Drosophila melanogaster: one gene and its partners. Changing the gene in region 2 together with the main gene of any one other region gives a genetic interaction. Each region holds a gene or a part of one and is shown on either strand. Other genes may lie near its edges.

The links.
Region 1: of SCAR (region 2) and Hem, changing one suppresses a phenotype caused by changing the other (phenotypic suppression), as found in Drosophila melanogaster (2 studies listed by BioGRID).
Region 3: of SCAR (region 2) and crb, changing one suppresses a phenotype caused by changing the other (phenotypic suppression), as found in Drosophila melanogaster (one study listed by BioGRID).
Region 4: of SCAR (region 2) and Abp1, changing one suppresses a phenotype caused by changing the other (phenotypic suppression), as found in Drosophila melanogaster (one study listed by BioGRID).

What each region holds. Positions count from the first base shown.
Region 1 is NT_037436.4:22,282,589-22,290,825, forward strand, and holds Hem (HEM-protein), read right to left. Parts: upstream 5,608-8,237; 5' UTR 5,400-5,607; coding exon 4,220-5,399; intron 4,155-4,219; coding exon 1,954-4,154; 3' UTR 1,766-1,953; downstream 1-1,765. Other genes in the region: Srpk79D (Serine-arginine protein kinase at 79D), read left to right, coding at 1-244, 316-512; IleRS (Isoleucyl-tRNA synthetase), read left to right, coding at 6,209-6,351, 6,416-7,667, 7,725-8,237. UniProt on the Drosophila melanogaster protein: Plays a role during growth of the oocyte.
Region 2 is NT_033779.5:10,972,677-10,982,771, reverse strand, and holds SCAR (SCAR), read right to left. Parts: upstream 6,001-10,095; 5' UTR 5,702-6,000; intron 4,875-5,701; 5' UTR 4,811-4,874; coding exon 4,066-4,810; intron 3,893-4,065; coding exon 3,791-3,892; intron 3,140-3,790; coding exon 3,059-3,139; intron 2,328-3,058; coding exon 1,660-2,327; intron 1,594-1,659; coding exon 1,344-1,593; intron 1,286-1,343; coding exon 1,107-1,285; coding exon of another isoform or gene 1,050-1,106; 3' UTR 377-1,049; downstream 1-376. Other genes in the region: piwi (P-element induced wimpy testis), read left to right, coding at 1-114; ATPsynG (ATP synthase, subunit G), read left to right, coding at 6,482-6,521, 6,611-6,870; abo (abnormal oocyte), read left to right, coding at 7,560-8,504, 8,562-9,236; CG16743 (uncharacterized protein), read right to left, coding at 9,542-10,095.
Region 3 is NT_033777.3:24,292,582-24,299,764, reverse strand, and holds the start of crb (crumbs), read right to left. Parts: upstream 4,688-7,183; 5' UTR 4,139-4,687; coding exon 3,901-4,138; intron 1-3,900. Other genes in the region: CG5715 (uncharacterized protein), read left to right, coding at 5,395-5,787, 5,844-6,338; Uck (Uridine-cytidine kinase), read right to left, coding at 6,521-6,636, 6,796-6,927.
Region 4 is NT_037436.4:13,481,377-13,488,521, reverse strand, and holds Abp1 (actin binding protein 1), read left to right. Parts: upstream 1-2,241; 5' UTR 2,242-2,664; coding exon 2,665-2,919; intron 2,920-2,981; coding exon 2,982-3,433; intron 3,434-3,494; coding exon 3,495-3,671; intron 3,672-3,733; coding exon 3,734-4,212; intron 4,213-4,275; coding exon 4,276-4,508; 3' UTR 4,509-4,989; downstream 4,990-7,145. Other genes in the region: stv (starvin), read right to left, coding at 5,769-6,087, 6,153-7,145.

The DNA of each region.
Region 1 (8,237 bases), on a different chromosome or scaffold from region 2:
ACTCGCCAGTATCGATCAATCGAGGTTCTTTTGGGAGCGCCGTACAATTATACCGCCGACATCTGGAGCACAGCCTGTTTGGCCTTCGAGCTGGCCACCGGCGACTACCTGTTCGACCCTCACGCCGGAGAGTCTTACAGTCGGGACGAGGACCACTTGGCGCATATTGTGGAGCTGCTGGGCTCCATACCGCAGTCGGTGATCTTCCGCGGTAAGCACGGGCTGAAGTACTTCACCAGCTATGGTAGGTATCAAATCGAATTTAGCTCAAGGAATGGTGTGTGATGTGTGACCCCTGTTGATTCCCATTTGCAGGTAGCCTGAGGAACATCACCAAGCTGAAGCCCTGGAGTCTAATGAACGTGCTGGTGGAGAAGTACGACTGGGACCCGGTGGAGGCCAAGAAGTTCTCCGACTTTCTGCTGCCCATGCTTGAGTACAATCCGGTTATACGGGCGTCGGCAGCGGAGTGCCTGCAGCATCCGTGGTTGGAGCAGGAGGAGTTCGTCTAAGAGGCTCATGGAGTGACTAGACAGCCAGAGAGACACAGGCATAGGCACAGTAAAATATTGCATACATAACATACGTATTTCGTACTCGTATTGTATTTCTAGGCTTAACTTTTATATGCAAACAATTTGCCATAAAGAGGAGGTAGCAGGAAAATGGGATGAGGAGCTAGCATTAAAGGACTCGATCGAAGCACACACATTTTACACTTACGAAATGCGGACGATGTGGGGGCGTTCCGCGTCGAATTTTTTAAGCTTTTTAATTTTTGTACTTGAGAGCTTTAAAATGTAATTACTAAAGAAGCGATTTTACTTTTAACGACAAAAGCAAACGAGAGAAGTAGCGCAAATGTTTTTCAAGTTTTATTTCGACGACGTGCATATAAGTATATACATACATATACACATATATTTTTTATTAACTGAGAAACAAAAACAAAAGACAATGACGACAATTTTTAGTCAACAGATGCCTAAACTGACTGACTGAAAAGGAATACATTTTCATGCGAAACCAAGTAAAACCAAATCAGTGAGAAATGCTAAATAGATTGTACGAACTAGCAAAATATTCAGCATCACATAAATAACAATACCTTCTATAATATTAATAAGCAAGTATGTGTATAATTAACGAAACCCCATTGTAGATATCGAGAATGTTCACAAATACAGATGTAAACTCAAATATTGACAGCTTTTTAGCAGAGTGTAGTGATTTTGGTACATTTAACCGAACCCATTTGTAGATGTTTAGGCCTATGTTGATTACGAGCAGATTTGAAAAGATGCCCTACTTACCCGATTTCGGTTTGCAAAACTTATCATTTAACCATCCGTGAAAAAGAACCTATCCCAGATCATGTAATTCAAAAAGAATTAAAAACAATAATAAATCATTGCATAAAAGTCTTTGTATCGGAATTGAAAACTCAAAATCGAAATTTAAATACTACCAATGATAACTACTGAGAAATCATATTACAAAATAACGAAAACATATTTTACTACTTGCCTACAAGTATTTGTACACAAGCCTACAAAGTAACATTGAACGTGACCAAATAATTTAATATTGCGGAAGATTTTTCCCCCAAACTCATATTTAATATACACACACGTGTGCGCATGTGTCCAAATGAAATTTAACAGAAATTGAAGCGGAGGAGCTGCACGTTCGCGGGAGTGGACACATATTTCAATAAGCCGAAATAAAGAATATACATACCGATCCGATCTAGAGACAGCTTATTAATGTGGGATACTTATTTGGGTTGTATAAGCACTTTATTCGAAGTCGTACGAGTATAAAAATGCAGAGTCTAGAATACATTTGGGTATGTTTAACAGTTTTAAAGTATGTTAGATTAGCATAGTGATCGATAGTCGATCGGCGGATAAACTACATAAGCATTATGTGGAATACACAGATCGGCTCCATTTAGAGTGCCAGCCCTAAGATCTGTTCCTGCTTGTATACGCCATGGTACGCGTTGCGTATAAGCACGTAGGGAAAGCAGGACTCAAGCAGATCCATTGTGAGGAAGGGCGATTGTTTGACGATTTCGTCCAGCAGCAAATAGATGGACTCTCGGTTCCGTGTCGCCTCTTTGTCGGACTCCTGGCCCAAGCGCAGTAGGGAAGAACTGGCCAGAGCAAGGAACTCTTTCATGCGGTCCTCCATGTCACTTTGACCGCAGATGGTAAACAGGGCTCCGAAGATGTTATTAATGGCCGCCGCCATGCAGTGCGTGTTATTTGAGTGGCCATCAATTGTGGCTCTGTAGAAGGAATTTTCGTTACGGGCCAGTTTTGGTATAGACACTGCCACAAAGACCATCAGTAGACAGGCAGTGAGGTGCTCACCCTCATCGAATTCTGGCTTTTTTGATTTCAGTGTAGTTGCTAATGTGGGGTCTACCTTGCATAGCAGACCCGCTGCTGAGGCCATCTCGGAAGCAACCCTAATTTGGTCGCCTCCGGGCAAATGTTCCTGAAAGTCCTTCACTGAGCTAAGCAGGAAGGGTATGCGCTTGTCCAGCACATCAACGAGGGCTTCATGCACCAGGTTGCGGAAACATATGATCACACCAATGATCGTCATGCGTTGCAGCACGCGGTCCACGTCCTGTAAGCGCTTAAATTGCTCCTTCATCACTTCAGGTTTGTCAAAACTGGTTCGCAGTGTAATGAGCACTTCCTTGTTGGTGCTCACCAGCGACTTCAACTCTTGCACCTGGTTTGCTATGTGCCACATAAGTGTTTCGTTCAATGTTTTGATACCGTAAGGTCCCACAAGTTCTGCAAGTGCTCGCAGCTCGTTGAGATCAGAGAATTCCTGCGGGTTAAATGGTACCCAGCCCTCGGGCGAAATGGGAACAAAAGCCTTTTGGTTAATGGAGAACACAATGTTGCCAGCGGAGACACGCCTTAGCAGAACCTCACTGTACCAGGTGTTGTACAAAGCGGCAATGGTTTTCTCGCCATGAGAGTCTAAAGCCTGTGTTTGCTGCAACAGGCAGTTGTTGAAAACTCGTGTTATGTCTATGTGCACGTAGTTCTCTACTGTCTGCAGCACGTTCATGTAGGCTCGAACGCTGGCCAGCAGCTCCGAGGGCTTGGCTATCTCCATTGTCTCCTGGTTGAACATCACCATGCCAACAAGATCCCGGGAAAAGCGGTGTTCCAGGTTCTGACAGAGATACTCGCGAGGGGCAAAAGCAAACTCCCAAACGTTGACCGTGGGGCAATAATTGATTGCAAAACAAAGCTCCGTCAGGGCCATGTGCAACTTGTCCATCGTCGTCAGATCCTCTCGTGTCTTTCGGTACGACTCGTCTCCCGGCTTTCGTATGTCGTCAAAATGCTTAGACTTCGATTTGTCCTTCTTCTTACGAGCAGATTGTACGGAAAGAATCTTAGCACAGTGTTTTGGCAATAGAGCGTCTGCCATTGTGCACTGCTCATCGCAAATTGTGGTTATAATGTTTTTAGCCTCCTTAGCCATTTCCTCAAGAAATATATTTACCACGCTGAGAGACCTTTCACGTATATGGTGTCGCTCCTCCGGGCACATTTCGTGCGTACAATTTTGGAAGTGGCTGCAGATTAAGGGAAACGCTATGATGTAGCGGTTCTGCGCGGGAAACTCCAAGCACATGTGGAATTGGTCGTCAAACATTTTGTTATAGAAACAGAAGATACTGAGATCCGAGGTTTCTACTAGTATTTCGTCCAAGTTATCTACCACCCTAGTGTGGAAAACCATTGAATCCAGTAGGCGGGCCAGCTCTGCATGCTCTGCGATCCTAAGTGCAGCCTTTCCCACACTCATGTACGTTTGGAGGCGGAACCAGTCCAGGCGGAATGGTCGGAAATAAAAGAGTTCGTTGTCTTCCACCTGCTTAACTGTCAGGGCTGCAGCCGTGTTGTAGAGCGAACTGAAGATTATGCTTTCGTCTTCTGGACACATTTGCAGACTTTGCATTCGAATATTAAGATCCGTGGCATCGAATCCGGACAAGTATTGCACGTAATATCGCTGCATTACCTGGCTGTATTTACGCACAAGAGCGCGGAGTTCCTCCATGTGGAATAAGAGCTCCGGCAGCTGTCGGTCTACAAGATCTTCATTGCTCTTTCCTATAAATTTAAAATAGTTAAGGTTCACAAATTTTAATTTAATCGTAAGAAAATCCTTAACTAACCTTTATTTTTGAGAAGAGGTGGGTTGTCATTATGCCTGAGGAGCCATAGAATCTCATCGCGCGCAAGACAAAGACCGATGAAAATGAATATTGCCTTAGGTCCCAGGAGGCCTGGTTGGTCGGTCATAATAAGAGCTAGCTCCTTCAAGGCTGTTCGAAGAAACTTGCGCCGCTCCCGATGCATTAAAGCAGCTTTTTGAACCGCCGTGTTGTAGGCTTCCTTTACTTCTCCGATCCGCTTGCTGTAACCTTTAATTCCGTCGAAAGTAGCCTGAATGTATTGATGAATTTGCAGGACCTCGTCGCGGAACAAGGCCACAACCCAGCTTGACTCCAGGGCGGAGAGCCAGATTTTGTTGACTTCCGGGTACTGTCCGAGCATTTGATGGTTCAGCAGCAAGCCAAAGATTATCCAGCGGTCCATTGCCTCCAGGGATATGTACTCGCAGGACATGGTGTCAGTGCGGACGGCCTTAAGAAGAATGGCCGGATTGCCTACCAGACTCAACTTTTGCATTTCCCTCCACTTGTCTGCTGGCAGGTTTCGCAGTGCATAGATGGAGGTCAGCGACCGCAACGCACTGGTTAGCAGGCGCTGGTGGGGAATGAATTCCTCGGCCAACTTTTTTAAGGGGACCTCGTAGTCCAGAATCATCTGCCCCAAGCGGGGGAAGCCCGTGTCCGCCTGATTGTTTTGCAGCTCGTAGGCGGCATTGTACAAGCCCAGAACTGCCTTGCGGTCCTCGACCCTAGACAAAACAATCATCAAGGACACGTAGGTCACAACCAAGTCCAGATAATATTTGGTCAGCTCGAAGTTCAATGTGATGTCCAGGTGAATCTGGCAGGCGTCCATCGTGGTGAGCAGTTCGCATACATTGTCCTTGAAATCAAGTAGGTCCACGAATGTGTGGTAATACAGGGACAGCGACTTAATAATCTCCGCTTTGATGTTTACAATAGCATTGAGCCCTTTGACGTCGATGTTGGGGAACCGCTTCACGATAAACTTGATGCTCGATTCCAACGACTTCTCGGAGAGGAAGCCTGGCTTCGACTTGGTGTCGCCGCATGCTTTCTTGATGTTGTATATCCGCGTAAGAATGCCCAGGCCGCGGTCATTCAAGATGATTAGTTTCTCAGCTATCTTCTGCTGGTTCGGAAAAATTGGGCGTGCCATATCCGATGACTGTTGGCGACGTCGAATGGCTGAAGGCGAGTTTCCGGTGGAGCCCAGAACACAGGTGTGCGCTGGCGAGACGTATTGGGAGGCGTGCAAGTGCTGATTTGCCCAGTACTTATACTTTTTCGTTTGTTAAATTGGCCGAAAAGGAGCGACACAAAAGTGTACACATTACTCTTCCTCTTGTTTTCGCGTTAGTGATGACCAATGGGCTGATAGCAAAGATATATTGCTATCGATAACGATAGCTACCATATATATGCTAAACTATTGATTGTTAAAAAGAAAATATACTGCTGAGAAAAAAAACATATGGCTTAATATAATTTAAGATAATTTTTTTATAATTATATATTACAGTAATTTGGTTATACTACAAATTAATAATAGCTGGTATTTGGGGTTTTAATTTATTAGAATTATTTGTCTAAGTCAGGAATAATTGCTTTCAAAACTATTGCATAGTTTATTCATTCAATTGCCAATGGCTTTCTTACTTAGTAACTTACAGTTCAGTTTTTTATTCTTATGGCTAACAAATTTATTAAAGTTGTTAATAGTAAATAAGCCTTTCTTTTTTTTTCAGTGCTGTCGTCAGCTGATTATCAAGGATGCCGCTCATCGGAACCTACTATCGATATCGCGAACCCATGAGCTAGAGAGCGATTAATGAACCACTAGTTCCGTACCTCGGGCACGTTGTGTGCCACGCAAAAACGCCGCAAGTCAGTTGAATTTCTGATATAAAAGGTGGGCGAATAAGCTCTGTTACTTGATAAATAATACAACAGTGAACTTTGACAGCCATGGGAAAAAAACTAGAGCGGAACGACGTGTGTCGGGTGCCAGAGAACATTAATTTCCCGGCCGAGGAGGAGAACGTACTGCAGAAATGGCGACACGAAAATATCTTTGAAAAGTGCAGCCAGCTGTCGAAGGGAAAGCCCAAGTAAGTGCCGCATACGATTGCATCAGCCGATCGCCAAATTTTGTGCTAATTTTCCACCTCCAAGATACACGTTCTACGATGGACCGCCCTTTGCAACCGGGCTGCCCCACTACGGACACATTCTTGCTGGCACCATCAAGGACATCGTCACACGGTACGCATACCAGCAGGGATACCATGTGGACCGTCGCTTCGGCTGGGATTGCCACGGACTGCCCGTGGAGTTCGAGATTGACAAGCTGCTGAATATCAAGGGTCCTGAGGACGTGGCCAAGATGGGAATCGCAGCCTACAATGCCGAGTGCCGGAAGATTGTCATGCGTTACGCAGATGAGTGGGAGAATGTGGTGACGCGCGTGGGTCGCTGGATTGACTTCAAGAACGATTACAAGACGTTGTACCCATGGTACATGGAGTCCATTTGGTGGATCTTCAAGCAACTGTTCGACAAGGGTCTGGTCTACCAGGGCGTTAAGGTGATGCCCTATTCCACCGCCTGCACAACGTCCCTTTCGAACTTCGAGGCCAACCAAAACTACAAGGAGGTTGTGGACCCTTGCGTAGTAGTTGCACTGGAGGCCGTTTCGTTGCCCAATACCTTCTTCCTAGTGTGGACCACCACGCCATGGACACTGCCCTCAAACTTCGCATGCTGTGTTCATCCGACGATGACCTATGTAAAAGTGCGCGACGTAAAGAGCGACCGACTTTTTGTTCTCGCAGAGTCTCGTCTCTCTTACGTGTACAAATCGGAGACGGAGTACGAAGTGAAGGAAAAGTTTGTTGGCAAAACCCTTAAGGACCTTCACTACAAGCCGCTTTTCCCTTACTTTGCGAAGCGAGGAGCTGAGGTGAAAGCTTATCGTGTCCTGGTCGACGAGTACGTGACTGAGGATTCCGGTACGGGTATTGTGCACAATGCTCCCTACTTCGGAGAAGACGATTATCGTGTGTGCCTCGCTGCGGGCCTCATCACAAAGTCCAGTGAGGTTCTCTGCCCAGTGGACGAGGCAGGACGGTTTACTAACGAGGCAAGCGATTTCGAGGGCCAATACGTCAAAGATTCTGATAAGCAAATAATGGCCGCGCTGAAGGCACGAGGAAACTTGGTTTCCAGTGGCCAGGTGAAGCATAGCTACCCATTCTGCTGGCGGTCAGACACGCCTCTTATCTATAAGGCGGTTCCTTCCTGGTTTGTGCGCGTCGAGCACATGTCTAAAAACCTGCTTGATTGCAGTTCCCAAACGTACTGGGTGCCGGACTTCGTCAAGGAGAAACGTTTTGGAAACTGGCTGAAAGAGGCCAGAGATTGGGCTGTAAGTTTTGTAAAGGAAACTTTTTTGTTATGTTTTTAAATCAAATTATATATCTAGATCTCCCGCAATCGCTACTGGGGCACGCCGATTCCTATCTGGAGGTCGCCTAGCGGTGATGAGACCGTCGTTATCGGCAGTATCAAGCAGTTAGCCGAGCTTTCCGGCGTTCAAGTCGAGGATCTTCATAGAGAAAGTATCGACCACATTGAAATACCATCGGCAGTTCCTGGAAATCCACCACTGCGTCGCATAGCTCCTGTTTTTGACTGTTGGTTTGAATCAGGTTCAATGCCGTTCGCACAACAGCATTTCCCTTTTGAAAACGAAAAGGACTTTATGAACAATTTCCCGGCTGACTTTATAGCAGAGGGTATCGATCAGACCCGAGGCTGGTTTTACACACTCCTTGTGATTTCGACGGCGCTATTTAATAAGGCACCATTTAAAAACCTCATTGCAAGTGGACTGGTCTTAGCTGCTGATGGTCAAAAAATGTCGAAGCGCAAGAAGAACTATCCCGATCCAATGGAGGTGGTCCATAAGTATGGAGCGGATGCTCTCCGACTGTAC
Region 2 (10,095 bases):
ACCACACGAGTGCCAGCAGTTTGCCAGTACGCTAAGAAGCTAGCTACCCTCGTGGGTACGAACTTGCACTCTATTCCGCAAAACGCGCTCGAAAAGAAGTTTTATTATCTATAATTGGATATAATTTAGAATGGAGTATTAATCCTTACTAAGAGGCCATATATGAAACTAGCCCAGACATTTATACTTTTTCAATACTTTCTTACTTTTGCTAAGCACTTCAGCATTTATGACTAAATATTTTGTATTTGAAATGCATTACTGCTCTTTTTTCAAACAAAAGCAAAATTGAGGATTAAGATTCTGGTATTTAAGCATAAGACCAGAGGAAATTCCCAAACAAACATTTAAAGTTATCTATCAAGACATGTTCATTAATTTGGAATATAATTACTTTATTTTTTATTGTATATTTTAGTTTATGTAAAGAAAAATTACATACATCCATGTTTGCTTACTTAACCACACATTCATGGCTGCTTATATTCGTGAAACATATTTTATTAATTATACAGGTATTTAACTTTCACAAGGATAATACAATTTCATAGCTTGTTGAGTATACTGAAATGCTACGGAGTTCGATATATTTTAATGTGTTTGTATTTACAAAATTCTAAATTTTCATTTTGGATAAATGTTTTATATTAATCGTATCGATTGCAAGTTGGGGTAGGATTGAGTTCAGTGATAATATCGATTATTTATAATTTAATATCCAAACACCGACTACTATGATACAGAAGCCCATATCTACTCAGACCTTGACTCCAAAGAAGCGAACAAAATTAGCAAGTCTTTTAAATCGCTTTCCTTGGATTGTCGTCTAGGCTTAAAATGCAAATGCGTTCGTTCACTATAGCGATTAATTTAACGATAATTACTCGTTGGTGTATATACAATTCAATGAAACTTTTGATTTTAGACATATTATTTAGGATTAGGTGTATATTGTATAAAGGGTGGTAGAAAAGCTTTGGTGCTTTTGTGTAATCCAATTTCATACCACGCTTGGTTTCGACCATCGTATGGATTAATTCTCTTTGGAATTACTTCTTCTTTTTGTTTTTTAGAATTATGTCAGGCTTTAACGAGTTAATCAGGGATCAAGCCGATGTTTCGTTCGGTTCCATCCAGCCCTCGCTGTCGTCTTCGCTATCCGAATCCTCGGACTCGGATAATTCGATAGCCACACGTCTGGCCAAGATTGAAGCCACATCCAATGGCGCCGCGTTTCGTTCAATTTCCTTTTGCTCTGACTTTTCAACTTTACGTAGAGTAATACCTGGAAAGATTAATTTGATGATATTTTTGCATTCGAACCTTGAATGGCAATTACTTACCATCTCGAATGGCCTTCATCAAGTCGTTGCGTGGGTCATGGAATGGAGGCAGCATCTTCTTGGGTGCGACAATGTGAGGCACACCATTTTGTTGGCCGGGCTGCTGCATTTCGCCATTGGCCAGTGATTTGGGAAGAATTTGATGCGGGCGCAGCGTGTGTTGGTTGCCACTGCCCATGCCTTCCTCGACTGGAGGCGGTGGCGGCGGCGGTGGTGGCGCGGCATTAGGTGGCGACATCTTAGGCGAGTGCTGTAAGGTTTTGCCACAAATTAAACCAAATTGTGATATATTAACACCCATCAGTGAACAACAAACCTGATCTGGAACCGGCGGCGGTGGCGGCAAGTCGCTAAGGGAGTTCAGTTGATTGCCCGTCATACCGATGCTGTGGAAAGTATTGCTCAGTTGCGTCATGACCATATCATTGGCATTCTGGACGCTGTTGGGAGATCCAGCTCCCGACGAACTGTTCGCCCGGCCAAGCAGTTTGGCCGCCATATGCCCGCTGTTGACTCCGTTCATGCCAGACATTGGTGAAATGACGTCTGGAACTGGTGGAGGCGGTGGCAAGGCATCCCGACTGGTCGACATACTTCTGCCCCTTGTCGGAGTGTTGGCATTGGAGGCTGTGGGCGTACCACCACCGCTGCCATTCGATGGCGGAGCCGGTGGCGGCTGCGACGGACGCGGTTTGTTACGCGACGGTGTTCCCGGTCCGTAGATGGGCTCCGGCGACATCACTCCCTGTCCAGTTTGGCCGTACAGCGCATGCGACTGATACATTCCGGCGTCATACATCTGCTGATGCTGCATGTGCATCTGCTGGGGGCCACCCATGCCGTTGCCGAAGGTGGCAGCATACTGATTACCCATCTGCGGTGGAAGCTGCTCGTAGGTGCTACCATCGATCTGCTCCGACTGATAGCTTCGGTTCAATTCGATCGAGTTAGGACGTGGCGGACGTGTATCGTACACTCCCATATCTAGAATAATGAATGTGAGATATTAGAGCCGTTGACTAACCACCCATTAAAATGAACGTTTTTACAGGACACACATCTCATTTAAAAACACGCCAATTATTTTGTAATTACAGCCGAGGAACAATAAGACACATATGTAATTACAAGCAATTCCAAATTTCTGTGCATATGAGACCGCTGGACTCGAATAGAAATTTTGTTGAATATACAAACATCCGATTAAAAGTCTTTGTTAGCTCGTTGCACAGAAAACAATTTAGAGATACTTTCGTAGAATAAGATGTGGCGACAGAAAGGAATTAGTAAAGCTGCAGAGTGACATGTAGACGTAGATATGGAAATTGACTGAACTACAACAGAAAGATAGGAGGATCCTAAACAAAAACTGCGGCTCAATCACGAATCGCGAGTATGAAATGAATTAAAGTATTATGCAAAATGCAAGATGCATTGTAAATATAATGTGCACACACATTACATTAAAATTGCAAGTTAGAAGGTGACTAGTTTACAGTGTTTTGAGATAATAAATCTGCACTTTGCATGACCAATGAAACTCATAAATCATCGCCATTCCGATTGATAGTTTGAAAAAGAGAGTGTTCTCTGTACACACAAATGCTAAAGGAACTCAAAAAGGATTGCTAGTAAGGTAATATGGGGATAGAAGCGAGTGAAAGAACATATATAGTCTTTACTGAGCTTGCTAAAAGTGGATGTGGATGTCTAACCTGCAATCGCAACGGCGGTTTGCTTGGTGACATTACTGTTATTCTCCAAATGCGAAAGCATATTATAAGGCTTTACTGTATCTGTAAATGAGATGGTTATGCGCGATTGATCCATTCGTAATTGCAATGCATATTTATGTTCACGTTCATTAATATCATAACCGAAAACAACGAAAGAGTAGTTCATAAAAACAACATGCAAATAAATAAAAGCTGCGAAAAATAATCGACCATTCGGAGAATGAAATTGTAAGGTTCTCTGACCGTATTGTATTTACCATCAACAAGACGAACTTCATTGGAACAAAGTCAGTGAATTCAAATTAGAGACAAATCAAGTTCGAAAGTCTTGCTAACTTACAGGAGGATGAACTAGACTGGCCATAGACCATTTTGCTAATGGTGTAATAATAATGAATTAGATCGAATATATCCTGTATCTGAGATTTTAATCAAACTTTAGATGGAATTTATGTTAAGTACCATTTCATTTATTTTTTAAGCTCTGGAAACTTTGTTTCGGTCACCTTTCTCTGGGTCATGATTGTGTGGGTTAATTTCAATTAATAGCAACTTCAAAATAATACAAATTAGTGATCTTCGAACTGGGTTTTGAGGCGCATCGAAAACTAGCGAGCTTTTGAGTGAAGTAGGTGAATGAATGGCGGGTACATCTGTATCGTGGGATGTCTGCCGGGCGGAAATGAAAGCTACGTGGCCCCATCATCGTACCTACGTCTTGGATATTACCGACAACTTGGTGGTGCGCATCGAGAGTGCTATGCCGCAAATCGATGTCAGCCTCGCCCACAGTCTGTATTTTGACTAGCTGAACTACACGGGCAGACAGGACATAATTGATAATTAAAATAGATGTACCATTCAATAGGCAAGACAAGTGCAAATAGTCAGTGCGCGAAACGAACGTACCAATAACAGCCTATGAATTTGGTTCGCACTGAATACTTGGCTCACACGGAGACCAATCCCTTTCGCCAAGTACTTACTTCCGTATCCGGCTTCTTCGTTGACCATGGAATTCGGTGTGCGGTAGATGACGTTGTTGGGCATCAATGTTTCGCCGTGCACCAGTGCACGTTGTCGCTGCTGTTCGCGCGTATTGTGCGGCACCCTTATTTTGGTCTTCTGTTTCTTATTGCCACGTCCAGCAGCTCCGCCGGCACCGCCATCCTGCCGCGGTCTGTTCAGCTTCTTGCCCTTGTCGTGCATCACACGTTCGGTATCCTTCAGCATCTCCTGTCGCCACAACTCAAAGAAGTAGTTCGGATCCGTGTAGAACTTAAGACCATCCTTGCCATCGTCTCGATAGACATTAAGCTTGTCGAGGGGCGGCGGTTTGTCGCACTGGGCATATGTGTCCATCATTGGTGCCGGCATGGTGGCGCGCGAGAAGATCTGTTGATCAAAAACCTTGGCCGACTTGAAGGCCTTCTTTCGGGTAATGTCCGTCAAGGGCACCTCCTCAACTGTGCTGTCCAGCTGGGTAACTTTGATAGCTAGGCGATCGATGCGCGCCTGCAGGGAGTTAGCTCGATCCCCGATGTTGCCCACGTCGCGGGCCAGTTCACCGAACACATCCTCTGCGTGCTTGGACAGCGAGGACAGCTGGCGAATGATGTTCGTCAGCGTGGTGTTGGTGACCGTCTCCAGCTCCACGGATTGCAGCTCATCCTGCTGATACACGGAGCGGGCCACATGCACGGGTTCTATGGATCGTTTGGGCAGCGGCATGGTCGGGCGCGATTGACAATTATCTCCAAATTGGCAAACCCGTAAATTAGTGCGTCCTCATCGACTGAAAACGGCATTAATAAGTAATAAATTGTTTTAATACGAATTAATGCATTTAAAATTAATTAAATATAAAACCCTTTATTTACTGATTTACTACATAATCTCATGCCAAATTGGGATCAATAATAAAAAGATTTCTTTTTATGCTGATTATCAATTGAAGACATTTCATTCCGATAAAATTGTACTTCCCAAATTGTCGTTTAACTTTGTTTATAAATTTTCCCGTAAAAGTAGACGTTTAAAAAGTTAATTGGATACTATCAAAATTGGTTTAAAAGAAATTTTGTCATCACTATACTAAACCGTCTATGAACAAGACTCAGAATGGTATTGCAGAAGATTTCACGAGACGCTTATCCATGTATCCATGAGACGTGTTCATTACAATCACCAAAATGCCATTTGAATTGTTTTGTGATATGCGCGACTGACGAACTCGACGTCTGGACCACACCCCACGAAACGATACCCACAGCGAGGTGATAAGGGCGTAACGCCCAAGTCACCCCCGCAAGATGCACCTTGCAGTCCCGGCGAGATTAGTCGATAATGCCCCCCTTTTCGGTGGCAGTTTCTGGGTGCTACGACCTGGGGCCTTTACGTGGGCACCTATTCCATACGTGCATATACGTATATCGTCGGCGGCCTCCCACCAACGCAAATTAGACCGTCACGCACTCACACACACGCATGAACCGCAGCAGCAGCAGCACCCAAGTAAATGTACATACATATGTGTGGGACGGAACGGCTGACTCTTTCAGATTTTCGCACTGAAACATTCGCACTAAATCGCAACAATGCACACACAAAGGTATCTCTCACACTTTCTAATCGTAGTGGCTGCTGCGATTTTGATTTTGGTTTTGAACGGCGCAGCTTAGTTTTACACAGTCCACCTCACTTTACAGCATATCGTACACTCACCGCCCGTCACACTTTTCGTTTGGCGGCTGGCACCACAACAAACATTAAGCAGCCACTTCCGTTTCGGGGGTTCGGTGGCAAATTCGATCCGATGCGAACTCTAATTAGCCAATTTGGGGCTTGAAAACTGCAAATATTTGCTCGTTTTGTGGAAACTAAGATTTCCACACCTTTGCAGTGTGACCGAAGCTTTGTGGTTCGAAAATACTGCAGGGATTCATCATTTCGGAAAATCAGACAAATATACTGCACGATGCGGTGGGGAAAAAGTTATTTTTATATTAAATGTAATATGTATTTTAATTACTATATTTAAATAAATTTTGCAAGGGAATTTTCAGTAACTCATTTCATATTGTTTATTTACTGTATAGAATGAAATATTTTAAATATAAATATATATTCAATTTATTTTATTTTATTTTAACTCTATATTATCCATAATAAGCTATTTTATTAACGTTATTTAAAATTACTGTTTGCAGTTTCTTCCATTAACTTTAGAAATGTATATTTGGTATTTTTGGTATTTATCCGCCGATCGATAACTAGTGCTCCAGCCCTGGCCCCAATGCATAACATCTCTGTTTCGTCGCACACTGAATAGGTAAGTTTTCCGCACATTTCGTTGATTTCCTCTTGTATAATTCCAACTGCTTGCAGAACCAAATTGAAAAGATGGCGAGTTTGGCTACCAAGGGATCAGGACTTGTGAACAGTGAGTGTCGTGAATCGAATGCAATCGAATGGATACACCACCATTGGCGCCTGTCAATCGCAAAATTATGTAATGATCACTTTTTGCAGGGCTCCTCACACAGGCGAGGCCCCAACTGGACGTGTTCCTGAAGTACGCCAAGGTGGAACTGACGCCCCCGACGCCCGCCGATATTCCGGCCATTCGCCAAGGACTGGGCAACATCATCAAGGGAGCCAAGACCGGCGCCTACAAGAACCTCACGGTTCGCGAGGCCTGGCTTAACACCCTGGTGACCGCCGAGGTCATCTTCTGGTTCTACATCGGCGAGTGCATCGGCAAGCGTCACATTGTAGGCTACAATGTCTAAGCTTACTATAGTCTCCGCTTGGCAGTCACTGGAATGGGCAACGTAATCCCTAACAGATGTGTATATTTATATGTCTGCGAACATTTCGACTCTGAATAAAGTGAAATAGTAATTTAAAATTCCGAAAATTTTCGAAAAATACATTGTTTTTTGAAAACCGTTAGAACGTTTGCGCGGGATTTGTGTAAGCTAAAGATGAGGTGATGTAAAACCAAGTTTGGAATTAAAAGTTGACGATATTTAATGATAAAAATTAAAAAAATATATGTAATGTTATACATCAAATGTTTATGAAACGGTGTCGTAATCAAAGAGGCTAATGGTTCAGAAATACATAATATACTTAGAGCATTTAAAAGCACTCAAGAATAATTTTATTTAAAAAAAAAAATAAATAAATCTAAATTTGCTTTTCATAGATAATTCATTTACACATTTTTTTAAACAAAGTAAAGTAAGATGTATTGAATTATTTTATTTATAAATAACGTTTTTTATTTGAATCTTGAAAAGCATTAATATTATTATTATTATACTTATATTTTTTAACAACAAAACTTTTGTAGACAGAGTAAATTTTTGTAATCTAACTGCGGTCACACTTTACTTTAGTTACCTTCCGATCGGAAGAAGAACCCGGCTGACATTAGGAATAGGAACTTGGCAGAACTTTCCCAGGATCTGTCAGAATGGCCTACAAGAAGCGCCTACAATCGCAGAACCTCGTGCATCTGCTGCAGAACCGCGAGTCCGGATACACCAACGTGGGCCAACAGCCGGGCAGGATGCCGCTGTTGGCCTACGAGCGTCTCTTCTACAAGTGCATCACGCCTTGCCTGACAATTGACTCGATTACCATTCCGCCGATCTACCTGCGCAAGTTTACGCCGGATGGCAGAAAACTGTTGGCCTTCTCGCAGGATCAGCGCAGTCTGCTCATATACAGCTACGGGGGTTCTAGTTGTGCGGCGGTGGGTGAACTGATTCGCCAGGCGGATGTAGGCAGTGGCGAGTGCTTCAGTAGCCAGGACACCATACTCAAGAGCAGGATCTTTGAACGCCTGTTTCCCACAAAAGAGACGCTGAATCTATGCCAAGGCGACTTTGGCCTCTACTATCTGCACCGGGAGTTCAGTGTGTTCCTGGAAGAGGGTCGTTATGCCATGCTGGCTGCCATGACCGTTGTGCGCGGCGCACTGCCGGTCGATGACTACGTACGGTACCCAGATCTGTTCGACAAAGTGGACGCCTTCTCGTATGTGTTCTTTCTGGTGGATTTGAAGCTAGGCGTCGTCACAGATAGACTTATCCTGCCTAACGACTCCATCGTCATTGCCCACAATCATGGAATTTCCGTGTTTGGCTCAACAGTGATGATGATGTCCCGGCTGCATCAGTGCGTTTACGTCTATTGGGTGAATGACGGTAAGTTCCACCAGCAGGAGACTATTGGTCCCAGGCCGAGGGACTTTATCGAGAAGGCTACCACAGACTTTGACAATCTTGACGCCACCACAGTTTTGCCCATAACGCACATTAAACAGCGCGTCCTTAGCTTTCTGTACCGTAAAATTAATGATAAAAGTGGCAACCCGACGGAAAGTCAGAAGTCGTTTTATAAAAACTTTGAGTATGTAAGTAACATTATAAAGAGTGACAACGGTCTTCACATCCTTACATATCTCATTTAGATAGAACACATGATCATGGAGAGAATGCATCTGGTGAACAATGAACTTCTAATGTTGCGCTATGAAGAGCGGCCAAATGGTACCGATACCATGCCCATGGCTACATCACCGCGCCGCTTGTATGTATTCTACACCATAACTGGCGAAGAAGTGGTTGGCGTTTATCCGGAATATTCCGTCAACCTGCTGCAAATCTTACTGCAATTCAATGACTACATGAGCAATGATCGATCGCTGCAATTCGGTGATGCACCTTCATTGCCCATGCATTTTTTCCTAAGGCATACCTTTGCGGATTCCAATGAATCGGTCTCCGTCGATCGACATACGGCCTTGCGCTTCAACCCCAGCGTTCCACTCAGCTCCCAGAGCCTTTCCTCGTCGCCCTATCTAAAGTTCAACGAATTTAGATACGACAGTCGGTACGTGTCTCCTCTGGAGCAACCCCATCGCTGCTGCAACGATCCTATTGTGTTTCTTGACCGTGCCACGGATTCAATCAAGTTTAGACTGCACGCTACGGCCCGCCGGCATTTAAATCCTTTGGCGCCACGGGAATTGTGCGCCTTTATTTGGCATCCCTTTGACCCACTAGTGCTCAGTATCCAGAAATGCATGAACAGCTACGTCTACCACGTGCACTTGTATAACCACAGCACAATAGTGGAAAAGTAGACTGCCTAATATGTACATACATGATTTTGTACATTTGTGTATAAAACATATTCAAGTACCTTTTATATTATGAAATATATGTGATACTAAAATATCTCGTTTTACCTTTTCAGTAATGTCTTTATTTACAATGGTAAGAGAACATTTCTTTCTTTTATTTAATCAAAGACTGTGAAAATTGTGAAAATTCCAAGTACTGTTTAAATCTTTAATTCGACTTTGCTACATTGTATTGAAGGCCGACTTGAAACTTGAGGCCCAATCCGACGTTTAAAGTTTCATGTAACATTGTATCTCGACTGCGACTACGTTGAAGATTGGTGGTGACCGTCCTCGTTGTATTCCTTGTTGACCTTAAGGGAATGATTAATAACGCTCGAGCCGCCTGGAGGATAGTTCGGGGCAGGCCCTGATCCCGGGCCGCTGGCAGGCTGCTGTGCCTGAGGCTGATTGGGGATCGCATTTGGGTTGTTAACTGGATTCTGTCCGGGAGCCCCCTGCGGTGGATAGCCGCCTGGATATCCGGACGGGTCGGGTGGATACATTGATGGTGGCGGAGCTTGTTGCGGGTGTGGCGGTGGTGGTGGTGGTGGGGGCATGTACAGATTGTAGGGATATGAAGGATAGCCTCCCATTTGAGGATACGGAGGATACGGCATGTACGGATTGTAGAGATATGAAGGATAGCCTCCCATTTCTTGATACGGAGGATAGCCCGGATTAGGATATGCAGGATAATTGTACTTGTGCTCCGTCTTGGAGTGCTTGTGCTTCTTCTCTCCACTGCTGCTGCTGCTGCTGTCGCTGCTATCGCTGTCCGTCCTAACCACTTCGTACTGAAGTAGCAGTACCAGAAGGA
Region 3 (7,183 bases), on a different chromosome or scaffold from region 2:
AGTAAATAATGGCAATGATATCAAAGCAACTCATATCAAGTTTTCATATTAGCCAGCATAAGTGTGAAAAGTTTAAAGTAACAATTGAAGTTGAAATGAGTTCACGAATAAGCTTATTTCAATTTAGTTAATTCATTTTTCTTTTTGTGCCATTTCTCGTTGAACTTGTCTATATTTAACCGTGTGAATAAATCTTTACGTTTAAACAGTTATCGTTTATTCATTAATATCTTGGTTCTGGGAACACCAAGATGACTTTCAAGCGAAAAGAGCCCCGAAAATAAATGCTTAGAATGGGGCACACTCGAAATTAGAGTCGCTTTTTCTCTCCCCCGCTCTTTTGGCGCCGTTCAAAATTTTGTGTGTGCTTTTTTTTTTGTTTTGTTTTGGAGCCACCTCTGCGCAGGCGCGCCTGGGAACCAGTTTTGTGGCAGCCAGTGGTGTGTTGTTGCTCGACCGCTTTCTGTGTGTTGCCAACAAGGCGGCCCTTGTACATTCTGTGGGCCTGGAAAAAGGGGCGGCCAGACTCGTTCACAAACTGGCACAAAGCAATGAACTGTTGAATAAAACAAAACCGAAAACACACCTGAGAATCTTTTCCGGTGCGTCCCCAAAGAGCAACACCATTTCATCCACCAGAATCACTAGAACCACCAGATCCACCGGAATGAACCTCTAGAACCTTCGGAACCCACAACCTGGGCAAACACAGACTTTTGAAGTATAAACGCAGTACGTGGGCGTTGCACCGCGGTAAGGTTTTCAAAATAAATTAAGGGCTGTGAGTAATTATGGAAAAAATGTACAAAATCATATCAGGAAGTGACTTTACACTTTCCACAGGGCATATGATGTGAGTAGAATGAACTTATAGAAGTAATAATTCCATAAATATTTTATTATTTATTAAATGGCTGCTACCTCATATATAAGCTTTAGTTTGTGTGTTTAGCACTACAACATGCTATTAATATGGTCTGAAATAAATAATAAAACCACGCATGCTGAGCCCGTTAATTGCCTTCAGAACCTTAGAGTATGTTCCCCAATTTCCCACCTCAATTACCAAACAATTTGTGTTCGATTTTGGTGCGTTGTGGCCCACGGTATCGTTGTTGGTGTGACTCAATGCTAACAATGGAATTTGTTGTTGCTGGCAGTACGCTGCGTATGCAAATAGCGACAGATAAAACGGCACTACGTGATCACCGCGATAAAGACAATCCAACGGACAGCATTGAACAACGCCCACAACTTTTAAACATTTGTTTGCATCGAATAAATTTTTGGAATTAATATCGTGTAAAAGCGAAAGCTGCCACTGTCTTTTCAGTTTAGTATAATATTTTCCCCACTATGTCATATTGTTTCTCACATTTGTGGTTTTTGTGCATCGGTAATTTCCCAAGGTGGCTGGCTAATCGATGCAGTCGCAGAAAACGTGGAACATTGCAAGGAGAAACTAGACAGAACTAAGCAGTTGTCTCGACTTAAAGTTACCTAATTACAACTTTCTATGCTTAGTCCAAAATCATACCAAGAGTCCACATCCCAATTATTTCGGCTATAACCAAAATTGGTCCTGAAATGTGCGCCCTGCATTCTCAGTATTGCATTCAATTCCACTTCCGCCACAATTCCCCACTCCCCACTAAGTACTGGGTAGTAAAGTACGCCCTAACCTTTAAAGGACTGGGGCAAATCAGTTCTTTTTCAGTTATACTCTGGCTATTTTTATAGACCTGGCTAACGACTTGCACTAATGGCCAACGTCAGGCAATGGTCGCGGCCGGCTGCGTAGGCCCACGGAACATGGCCCACGACCCGCGTCACGGCCGATTGCACTTTAACACTTGACCAGGTTGAAACACCGGACACCGGAGAGCGGAGAACGCGGGTGTGTCCAGCGTACAATTTCCATTCCATTCTCGATTTTCATTTATGTACGTGCCAGAGAATTTCCATAAACTCGCGGGGTCACGTGTTGTTATCGTTAACGCAATGCAGGTAGTTTCGGTTCATTTGTGTTTTCCCTCCACTTTTCCAGCGTGCCTAGTATACCTGTGCCGCGATTTTTCCCCTGAAAATGATGGATTATATCTGTTTAGGGCGGAAATTCAAACGAAAGCCGTACAGAAACCACTCTCGAAGTGAAGATGACGCTGATGATCTTCGCTGTCGGTGTCTGGATTTTACGATGGAAGCTGCCATAAACCAGTTGCTGTGATGCCTTTCAGGGATTTCCCAGCCCAGACATTCATTTTCTCTTCTTTTTATTCGTCGGTTTTCCTTGTCAATCATAAACCAAAGTCATTTGATAAATTCTACGATAAAAGGTATACGAAAATACAGGGCCTATAGAGAGGTTGGTTCTTTACAATTAAAAGAAAATGTGTTCATGGAAATGAATGAATTATAGCTCTTTATTAGGGCTTTTCACTCGTTTGGATTTTTTTTAATTATTAAGCTGAAAATTTGTTTACTATTAGCTTCAAGAGCTGATAAACTGGTTTACTATGTTTTCGCTGCACTCCAGGGCTTTCCCTACTTCGAGTTGGAAAACTCTTTCTCTATCTGTGCTCCCTTCTCCTGAGTGTTCTTCTTATCAACCTATCAACGGAATTGCGGTATTGCTGACGTTGAGTTGGCCGCGCTTTTGCAACTGTTGTACTTCACTTTCCGGCCAAAAGATAAGATTGCGCGTAACAACAGCCGGATGGCTGGCCGTTTGGAGGGTTGGTACTCGAATTGTAAATAAATAGACCCAATTTTTGAGGTCGTTTTTGCACAATCCGTTGGAAAAAGGGGGCAGACAATGCTAAGCCAGCCAAACAATTGAGCCGCGGACAACATGTAACAGAAAATTACACATAATGAGTCAGCAAGAGTTGTGAATCAATTATTATGATCGTTATGCGATAAGTTTCACAGATTTCACTGTTGTGATATCGCTAAAAGCGCTTTGAAAATGCAGACAAATGAGGTTTTATTACCAAAAAATCGCACCAGTATCAACAAATGCAGAAACAATAATTTGTTACGATTCCCTGTTATTTACCTAAAAATATGATATCCATTTGTAAGCTACAGTGTGTAAAAAATGCGGGTCACGTTAAAATATCTCTTCTGGTTTCAGTAATTAATTCTTCTTGGCCAAGATTGCTAACATTAACCGCCTTTGAAGCTATAATTTGATTAATTATCTCTCTCAGCGACTAAAGTTGTACTCTACTAAATATAAATTTATACGCAATCGAAGCTAATACATTTCTAAGCATTCCTTTTGTTTGCAAGATAAGACCGAGCACACAATCATCAAAAATTAGAAATGAGTGTATAATTAACACAATCAAACTTCAGGTAAGCCAGCTCCATGAGTCACTTCTTGAAGGAAAACCCGTTGAACGAGTTTTTCGTAGGCCCGAAATCATTGAAAATCCAAATTCCTTTTACCCAACATGACTTGGTCAACATCCCCAAAACACACGAATGCCCCACCACACACACACATGACCTGTTGCTCTTTTTTTTCGATTACGAGCTTTTGAAACATCAGCAAATGTTTAAGCTAAAGAATGCATGTGGCTCATCATATAAATTATTTACAGTGTGACTTCCGTAACTCAATCTCATTAACTCATTAATCATATGAGCAGCCAAAGGCTTAAACACAATAACAACATTACAAATTCCATTTAAAATGGGCATCTAATATACATTTTAATAATTTATAACGGGCAAGTTCAGTGCTGTGGAGTGATCACTGTAGCTTAAGAACCGCGTAAACACCGTGTTGCTCTCTCATGTCCCCATCTTCGCTCTCTCCTCCTGAATGTCCTCGACTGCCTATCGCCCTCCCTCTCACTCACTCGCTAGCTCCCTCTCAGGGTTCTCTCTCACCTGTTGCTAAGTAAATAAGTATGAAGAGCGGTATCCATTGAGGCGACGAATAAACTGAAATGGCGCGCTTGAGCAAATGCGACGTAATTTGAGCTGCGCTTTTCGTGCGGTCTCGACTTCTTGCTGTTGTTGTTGCTGTTTCTACTGATGCCGCCACTGTTGTTGTTGTGGTCGTTGCTGTTTCTGCTTGCCGCTGTTTTTGTTGTTGCGACAGTGACGCATTGGCGATTTTAGCCATGATCGCTGATTTGTTGGCTCAAGTCGAGTTTTCGTATTGGAAAGGGTTGCTTTTGGCTAGATATTATTGCTATTCAAACGATACTCATTGAGCTTGTTGTTGTTGGTAATTGCATTCTCCCTTCTCTCTGCTCCACGCAAACACTCATACGCACACACACACACGCGCGCAATCGGCACTTGGCTTAGAACAGGTTATTTTTATTTTTTTTAAGTTATATTCCTCTTTTTCTGCTAGTTGTATTATTTGCAAACTTTCGCACGCGACACTTTCTAGCCTGAATTTGAATATTGAGCACAGAGATTCCACTTTGAGCCAACTAATTTGCCATTTCTTCCCAGGCCACGATTCTGAATCACACCAACACACACACACACATACGAGCGCCGAAGACTTGGCTTAAAAGAGAGGTGCGCTGTTCTTGTTGTTGTCGCTGCCCTTTTGAACTGCAAGCAGCACACACACACGCGCGCGCACACACATTGGCCAAAACGGGGCGAAAAAAACGTTACGAGCGCGAGCAACCAATAAAACGTACGTACGAGCAGCAAGAAAAATGTTCGACCGTTTGAATCGGCGATATCCGTTTCGTGGGCTTATATATGGTGCAGTGTGACCAGTCCGCTTGGCTAGGTTTGGCTGGATTTTGATATAGAGTCAACATGCATGGCCACACTGATATTCAAGTTGCACAGTGGTACAATATGTACAAAAAAAATATTTTGTTCTTGAATTGATTTCGCACAAGAATTAAACCGTTAATTACATTTTCATAAAACTTTACTGATATAACTATTCAATATATCAATTAATATCGTGTGTATGTCTAGGTGACATTCCAAAATACACGAGCATAGTAAAGTTTAATTTATGGCGGGAACATGAAAACGTAAACTTCACTTAAATTACCAACGGCAGTTATGGGTTTTGTAAGTTGTGACCTACATCATCATAATCCAAATAGAATAAACCTTTTATAATACCGCAAATCTTAACTTGCGAAAATTCCGCACTGCACATATTTTCAAGTCGGAATGCATAAAAGTAAATTCCCCATAAATCAAGAAGCCGGCGGATAGCAACTACGTACTTAATGTAAATGTAAACGGCCACAAAGCGCCGACTTATCGTTTCAAAGAGAACTCAGCATAAACAGGCAGCACCGACAACATGTCGTCAATTTTTGGAGGTCTAGGTGGGACTATATAATGTGGGTAAGCCTGGTTAGAAATCACAGCAGTTGGGGAATTAGCAAAATGGGCAAATCGCAAAATAATACTGGTTCGCTTTTGCTACTGATTATACTGGGCATTTCTCTGGGAGATTCCATGCCCCTGGAGGATATGGACTCCCAGGAAATGATTGACTTGACAGATCTTGGAGATACTCTGTTCGGTAATCCGGACGTGGAGACGACTGGAGCTTTGGTTGAGGCACTCGGTGTGGAATCCCCGCTGAATCCCGAGGAGCTGGGAACCTACCACGAAGGTGACATCCTGATTCCACTGAGCTACAGGGACGCCCGATTCAATGGCACTCGTAATGGCATTTTGGCGCTGAGTTCCCGCTGGCCGGGCGGCGTTGTGCCCTACGAGATCAAAGGTCCTTTTACCAGCCAGGAATTGGGGAATATTAACCACGCTTTTAAGGTGAGGTTTCAGTAATAGTCCCTATTACAATTTACAAATAAGATTTTGTATCTTAGGAATACCACACCAAAACATGCGTGCGCTTCAAGCCCAGGACCACCGAAAAGGATTACATCTCCATTGGTAGCGGAAAGTCTGGCTGCTGGAGTAGCATTGGGCGCTTAGGTGGTCGCCAGGAAGTGAATCTGCAGTCGCCCAACTGCTTGCGTACATACGGCACTCCCATTCACGAGCTGATGCACGCCCTGGGCTTCTTCCATGAGCAGAATCGTCACGAACGTGACTCCTATGTGCGCGTGATGAAGGACAACATCAAGCCCGAGATGATGGTCAACTTCGAGAAGTCCAGTTCCAGGACACAGTACGGCTTCGGCGTGGAATACGACTATGGCAGTGTGATGCACTACTCCCCCACCAGTTTCACTCGGAATGGCCAGCCCACGTTGAAGGCACTGCGTGCCACATCCGATGCCAGCCAGATGGGTCAACGCAAGGGCTTCTCAGCCGGAGATGTGCGCAAGATCAACGCAATGTACAAGTGCAAGGTGTAGATGACAACTGCAGTCGAAGCATTCGGTAACAGTATTTTGACAAACATAAATATTTATCATCAACAATCAATTGTGTTTACTGAAAAAATATGTCTATGGGTACAATATTTGGTTAGATAATTAACAATCGCCTATGTGCGTCGTGTCTTGTACTGCTCCGGGAACTCTCACGCCATCCCATCCTAGTGGTACGGCAGGTTCTTATTTGTCTCAAAGAAATAGTTGCCCTGCATGTTGAGCTCCTTGCAGATCGTCGAGAATCTTCGGATGGCGTTGTACGTGCCGAGGTTACTTCCATCTTCACAGGGAAACACAAAGCATAACAGAAGATACTATATATACAGCACAGCAAGTGTCCGATTGCATGCATTGGTTGGTTGATTGGTTAGTAATCCGGATCATTCACTCCAGTCAGCGGATGGTTAGTGGGGACGCGCCTTTTGGATGGTGGCCTTACCTGGGCCCGCGAAACCGGCACCCGTCGCATTCAAATCCAGATTCATGTAGAGAGCCATGTTTCCGGTTGATCCGTGCCGAGATCGATTGTTTAAGAAGTCCCGGATATGCTGAACGATCAAATCGATGGCCACTGAAAGGAAAAGAGCGGACAATTAGTTCGCACTCAGTTTGGAAATATCAAATCGTAATGCTGCACCATCGTAAGCATTGCAACTCAATGTGGAACAATGCACTTACCTCGCTGCTCCTCCCGAGCTCCGCCGATCCAAGCGGTCTAGTCTAAGCCCAGGACTTATTCTAGCTCTAGTTAGTGGGATCTATTACCTAAACGCATCTAAGCTGGGCGGCATGTTCTGGTTATTGTTAAGCTACTGTGTTTTGTGACT
Region 4 (7,145 bases), on a different chromosome or scaffold from region 2:
GGAAGAAACTGTCTGACTGGGGGATCGCGGTTACAAAGAGGAAGATGTCAGCCGGAAAGGGGGCACTGTTGCAATCGTGAATCATGACTGGAGCACGCAGAAGGGTCTGCGACTGGATACACTGAGAGGAGTTAGAGCCCAATAGCAAATCTGAATTCAAAGATTAAATGTAATATGGCAAAATGTGATAACAAACAGCACCTCTGATTGGTAGCATACGAAGTATGTGAATAATAATCAGATTACATTTGGGAATTCATTAACTAGGCATGAAATCGTTTGCAAAACGTTTTGTTACATTTTGTTTCTTTATATAATGTGACTTTGATAGTCTAGAATATAATGATGTTTTTATGTAAGCAAAAATCTTGACATCTATTAAGACTTATCAGTTTAGCAGACTTGTAGAGTTTTCCAAGTTCATTCACATTAAATCCATTCAGAAATTATTTTAAATTTGTAAAGAGCTACTACTAATTTGAATCACTGCTTTACATTCCCATGAATGTTTTAGACGCAAGATGTTCATATTACTGGGCATTTCTTTCTGTGTCTGACACATTGTTGAAATACTTTCCGAGTCTTCTTGGCTCAAAGGTGAAAGCCATAAAAGAGCTGTGTATAACCCCCACCCCCACTGCCCCGTTTGGGTTGAGTACATCAGGGCATGTTGTTGGCCAAGTTGAAATCATAAAAATTGTCGACTCTTTTTAAACGGAATTGGTTAATGGCTCCAGTTGGTGTTTTTTTGTTGGTCTGTAAGTCTGGGTCGGATCGGTTTGTTCACTTACCGCTGGGATTGTTTTGCACCATGGTCGCCGCTCTAGAGAGTACATCCAGCGCCGTTTCCATGATGATCTCAACGCTTCTACGTGGGATTGGACGTGGATTTGGAGTTGGACTTGGACTTGGTTTCGCTGCTCCTGCACCGACTCGATCTGCACCGCATGAGTTTCACACTGAAAATGCAAAGAAATTGACCATGAACAGCCGCACCACACACACTTAAGCCGCACACACATCTCTCTCGTATGTGTGCCTTACAATATATACACCGAGATATCCAAGTGAAAAACTGGATATATCGCCCGAGCCTGGCATTGGCATATATGTAAATGGAACAAAACCAAAACCAAAGCCAAAACCAAACCAAAGCGAACAAAGACTGACTGCCTGACTGGCTGACTTGAAACAAGTAAGACGAAGGCGAAATCCTGCTGCCAAACAGTTGCCATCTGATCGGAAAGCTGTGGAAGTGGATGCTGATGAGGGGACATGCACGGTGGCGGGGCGGTGAGGGGCCACGATGCACTTGGGACTGGTTTTTTTCGGAGGCCCCAAGACCAAGAGTTCGGGGGCTGCTCCGTTGAATATTTCGGCAATGACCAAAGTACAGCAGCCAGAGCCATATTGTTGCTAGCCAGTCAGCCAACCATACAGCCAGCCAGCATCCGACGTCTAGTTTCCACATTAATATACGTAAATATCAGGCCACAACAGTGGAGCCACTTTACCTTTCGCCAGGTGTGCGCCTTCAAATCCTCGCTGGAATCCTGCTCCTCAGCTGTACGGCGATTTATCCTCGCTAATTTTCACCGACTTTTCACGATTTGCGCTGGGAAAAGCGGGGGTTCGATGATTTTTGGTATAATTGCAATAATAGTTCAGTTCGCGTTAGAGCTGGAAGATACGTCGATGTAACATCGATGGCCAAAGTCATCAGTCTGTATTCACATCGATATTTGCTCAGCCTTACCAACACTAATATTGTTCAGCGGTGACTTAAGCCCACATATAACATTAGCGTTGACTCGAACCATTTTTAGAAAACTTAATGTACAAACAATGTAAACATACCTAACAACCTAAAACATATTATTTGTCAATAGTATTTGCAAAGTATATTATAAGCAAATATAAAGGTTATGATATGAATAAACACCATATACCAGTTTTTTCCATTGGATAGAGATACAAAAAAGTTGAATAAAATATAAAAACGAAAAATGTTCGTATGTGTGATTATTAAAAAAGAAGATAATGCTTATATATATAGTTGAAACTTTACGACTAACACCTATAAGAAAAACGATAAAGTAAATCAAAGCCTATTAGACGAGGTACACGTTACTAGATACGTTCTAAAACCTCTGTTATTTAATTTCAATTTTACAAGTAAAAACCATCGATAGCGGCACAGTGGCAACATTGAAAGTATCGATTAGACATCGCCTGTTGTCCCAGCTCTAGTTTGTTGTTGCAAAAAAAGTGTGTGGGTCGCCGCCAGCGATCGAATATTTTAAAATTCCAATCAAATTGGTTAATTGGGGAGTTGCAATTGCTTGAGCGTTAAGTTAAACCTATTTCTGCACGCATAACTCGAAGGATTAAGGTGGAAAAGTGGAATTTGGAAAGCCGCTGGAAATTCGCACATACTGGAAAATCAATCACCCACTATCCCATTGTTCTGCTTGTGTTTGTGTACGTCTGTGTGCCTTTGTGAGGCGGCTGCACTTAATTAAAATTTAAGACAAGACAACCCAAGCAAATTTGGAGTCTTCGCGAGGCGTTGGCTTTCACTTGACGAAGAGGGCACCCCGATAAGGCGACCCAGTGAAAGCTGGCCAAGATCTCGCTGCTCAAGGTCGTTGTCAGTCTGGAATTATGGCCGTCAGCTTCGAGAAGAATCGGGCGCAAATAGTGGCCGCCTGGAAGGATGTGCTGGACGATAAGAGCGACACGAACTGGTCCCTCTTTGGCTACGAGGGTCAGACCAACGAGCTGAAGGTGGTGGCCACCGGCGATGGCGGCGTGGATGAGCTAAACGAAGACCTAAATAGCGGCAAGATTATGTACGCCTTCGTCCGAATCGAAGACCCCAAAACGGGCCTCAACAAGTACTTGCTCATCAACTGGCAGGTGAGTCCGACGGCGCCCTTATCTAATCGAGCTACGCATAATCTGACTGTGCTCCCATTCAGGGCGAGGGCGCACCTGTTCTACGCAAGGGTACCTGCGCCAACCACATACGTGATGTGAGTAATTTGCTGTCCGGCGCTCACCTTACCATCAATGCCCGGAACGAGGACGATATTGACTTGGATCGGCTTCTCAAGAAGCTGAGCACCGTGAGCTCAGCCTACAGCTTTAAGGAACCTCGAGGCGCCATGGAGGAGCAGAAGGCGCCGGTGGGAACCAACTATACTCGGGTCATTCCCACCAAGGAGTTAAACGCCAGCGTTATGCAGGACTTCTGGAAAAAGGAGGAGGCCGAGGAGAAATTGCGACAGGAGGCAGAGAAGGAATCCAAGCGGCTTGAGCTTCAAAAGTTGGAGCAGGAGCAACGTAGTCGCGAGGAGAAGGAGCACAAGGAGCGGGAGAAGTTGGTCATAAGCACCACCAAGCTCCAGCCGGCCCACGTACCCATCAAAACGTAAACAAAAACATCGGAATTTGACCTTCTCGGTAGTAAAAATTCTTTTTTTATCAAACAGGTCACCGCAACCTTTGAGCCCTGAGAAAACTGCACCAGGATTTGCCAACAATCTGACCGATGCGGAGCGCATGCGTCAGGCGAGGAACCAGGAGGCCCGCGAATTGATTGGCTCTCGTGTGGGTGCTGCCAAGGCCATGTTTACAAAGCACACGAGCGAGGGACAACTTCAGTCTAAGTGCGTCCTTGCCCCTCTCCTATTTTGTTGTATCAGAAATAAACTGCTCTTTTGATTCATAGACTAAATACGCAACCGCCGGCCAAACCAGCTCGCAACTCGATTGCCCAGCGCATCAACGTTTTCAACCAAAACCAGCCTCAAGATGCACCTGTGCCTTCACCACCACGCGCTGCGTCCCCTGCCAAACCGTTGCCTGTAGAGGCTCCCGAACCAGTAGTCCCCGCTCCAGCTATAGCTCCTGCTGCTCCCGTGGCTGCCGAGGTTGTTTCCACAATAGCGGAGGTGGAGGAGTCGCAACCGGTAGACGATTTGCCACTGGCCCATGAGAGCGAACAGTTCTCGACTATCAAGCGATCACCCCATAGTAAATCGAACTCGCTGCAGTCTCAGTCGCCCGACGAGACCACCTCTTCCAATGAAACAGACACCGCTGTTTCCCAGGAACAGGAAGAGGAGGTCCGCACCAAGGTGTCAGTCACCGTGCAGCAGTCGCAATCGGTCAAGTCGAGCGGCATGAGCACACTCGAAAGGAATGCATGTACGTAAACCATAGCTATGACCCGTTGTTCGTTCTATATTTAAACACGAGTGTTTTTTGTAGTAACGGATTTGGTAAACGAGGACGATTTTATCTGCCAGGAGACCTTAGGCGATCTGGGACAACGGGCACGAGCTCTATACGATTACCAGGCAGCCGACGAGACAGAGATCACTTTCGATCCAGGCGATGTCATTACGCATATCGATCAAATCGACGAGGGATGGTGGCAGGGACTGGGCCCTGATGGAACCTATGGACTGTTTCCGGCAAACTATGTCGAGATCATCAACTAGGGAAACCCAAGTGCCAAGCAGCTGGGACGCCCTTTTGCTAAATATCTACACCAATGCAGCTAGCAACTATATTTTGGATCCGGACTATAGCTACTTAAACACTTTACCCCATAATCTTGAACAATAATGCGATACACCTAGAAGAGATTCAACGATGACTAAATGCGACTATAAGATTTTTATCGTACATCACGCGTCTGTTTTTTATCTACATACATATTATTATATAACGTATAATCCATGCCACATATGCAACCCTATCATACGTTGTTCCCATTTGTATACATATTATATCATTGTTTGGCCTCGATTGCCGAAGCCGTGTTGCGTCCTTTTAAAATGTTCTTAGGATACATACAAAGTAACCACTTAGTCAGTATTTAAGGCCCGCTCCATTCCCGATCCAGGGTTCTTTTGTATATGTATTATTGATCGAGATTTATAACCTTTTCGATAATAAACTTTGATAATTGTGCAACCGAAGGATAACACAGTTTTATGGTCAACAATATCTACATTTATTTTCGCATTAATTAGTAGCATAAATAGTTATCATAGTTTTTTTTTTTTTTCTATAAGAGTTTACGTTCGTTTAACAATTCACCTGCAGCAAAGCCGTGAGTGGTGCACTCGGCGTGATTGGATGGATGAGTTGGCCTGTGGCAAGCAAGCGCGTCTGCTGTAGATTTGTATGAGATCATACGGCGGCTTGCTGCCCCTGTTGCTGCTCATCGGTACAATTTACGTATAAAAACTGGACTCAGGTTCAAAAATATCCTCATGGTGATCATCTATCGCTTAAACATAATCAGCTCTTTTAAGTGAAGCAACCCTTGTTGCCAAATCGTTTTCGCTCTGTTAACTTCCGAATTCTATGCAGGCACATTTTCTCAATATTAATTCTCTTACTAGCCTATAATCTACGCTGTGTGGTGTGTGTGTGTGTGTGTGTGTGTTATGATGTGTGGGGATGAGTGGGTGTTGAGTGGTTGACACGTGAGATTTGCATATGTTTAGATAGTACGGTTGTGCTTCTACGAAATACTAGCAAAGATTCGTCGCCAGCTCCTCCTATTCACATTCACATTACACATCAAATTCACTTTCACATTTACTTTGAATTCAGTAAAATCAAGTCTGTCGCTGTCCGTTGATGAGTCGGGATCGGAACTCTTCTCTATCCTCCGCCTGTTGTCACTTAAATTTGGTTAATTTGCGTAGCTGCTTCGAAACGGTCGCCTTGTAGAGGCGCTGTGTTCATCATTCCGACGTCGTTGTGGTTGTCTCCGACTGAACGGCGGACTGTGTCGCCTCCGCGGCGGTGGCTTCCGAAGCAGCTGCGCCCTCGACGGCAGCAGCATTTGGTGGTGCTGGTAGAGGGATGGGTTCCTGCATCTTTGTAGCATCCTGTGGCTGTGGAGTCACTGGCTCCGCATTTTGTCCGGCCGCTTCCGAGGCAGCAACTGCACCTGTGTCAACCGCTGGAGCTGTTGCGCTAGGTGCAGGTGCTGCTCCTGATGCCGCTCTGGCATTCTCCTCGGCCTTGGCCTCCAGCACATTTATCGAAGCCTGAATGCATCTGCAAGGAACAATCATTGAATTAATTAAATTCGATAATGAGCTCTGGTGACTCTGGTCACTTACTTGATAGCCTCCTTTCGGGCCAGACGAATGCTGTCCTTGCCGTTTGTGTCGATGGTGTCTAGCTTAAGCAGGTTGCGGGTCAGCATCTCGTCCAGGTAGGCGTACTCCTTCTCCTCGCGCGTTCCCTTGAACTGCTCCACCTTGCCCATGAGCTCCAGTACGTCGCGCTGAATGTCCTGGATTTTGTTAATAGAGTTGAGGGTATGTGGTGTCTGTGGCGGCAATCCAGCGGCTCCCTCAACTGGCACCTGCTGCTCAGGTTGCGCCTGGGTGTTTAGTGGCGTCGGTCTGTTGTGCTGCTGTGGAGCAGCGTGTGCCTGTGGCTGCGCCTGCGCATATGCCTGTGCCTGAGCTTGGGCCTGAGCACTGGGCGGAGCGTTCTGGTTCGGTATCTCCTTGTGGGCATTGATGATGGGCTCGGAGCGACCCTCAACAAAGATGGGAATGGTGCGCACATAGGTGCCACCCGGGGTCTGTGGAGCTGGCGGCGGGGTCTGCTGCTTTTGCTGGGGATGCGTCTGCTGGTGCGGCGCATAGTAGGTCTTGAACTGCTGACCCTGAACGGGCGGACTTGTCTGGGTGCCAAACGGTTGGCTATGTACTCCCGGTTGCTGATGCTGTTGCTGCTGCTGGTGATACTGCAGATTCTGCTGCTGCTGCTCTGGCGGAGGGGCGGAGTGGGATCGCAGTCCCTGATCCTGCTCGGCGACACTCTTCACGCCCATGTCGACAGTGTTTCGCAGTCCGTGCTGGTTCAAGTTAGTCGGCGGGGCACAATCAACCTCCGAGCGACCGGCAGGATCCTCCGTCTGGATGGCAGCATCGCAAAGGCGCTTTGAAGGCGTCTGCGGCACCTGCTGCTGGGTTGGTCCGGCATAGACTGGCTGTTGCTGGGGCGGCACACCGAACTGGAAGTGCGTCTGGGGTTGCTGTTGGGTGTACTGCGGCTGTGGCTGCGGCTGTTGCTGCTGTGGAACTTGTCCGGGTGCAGGA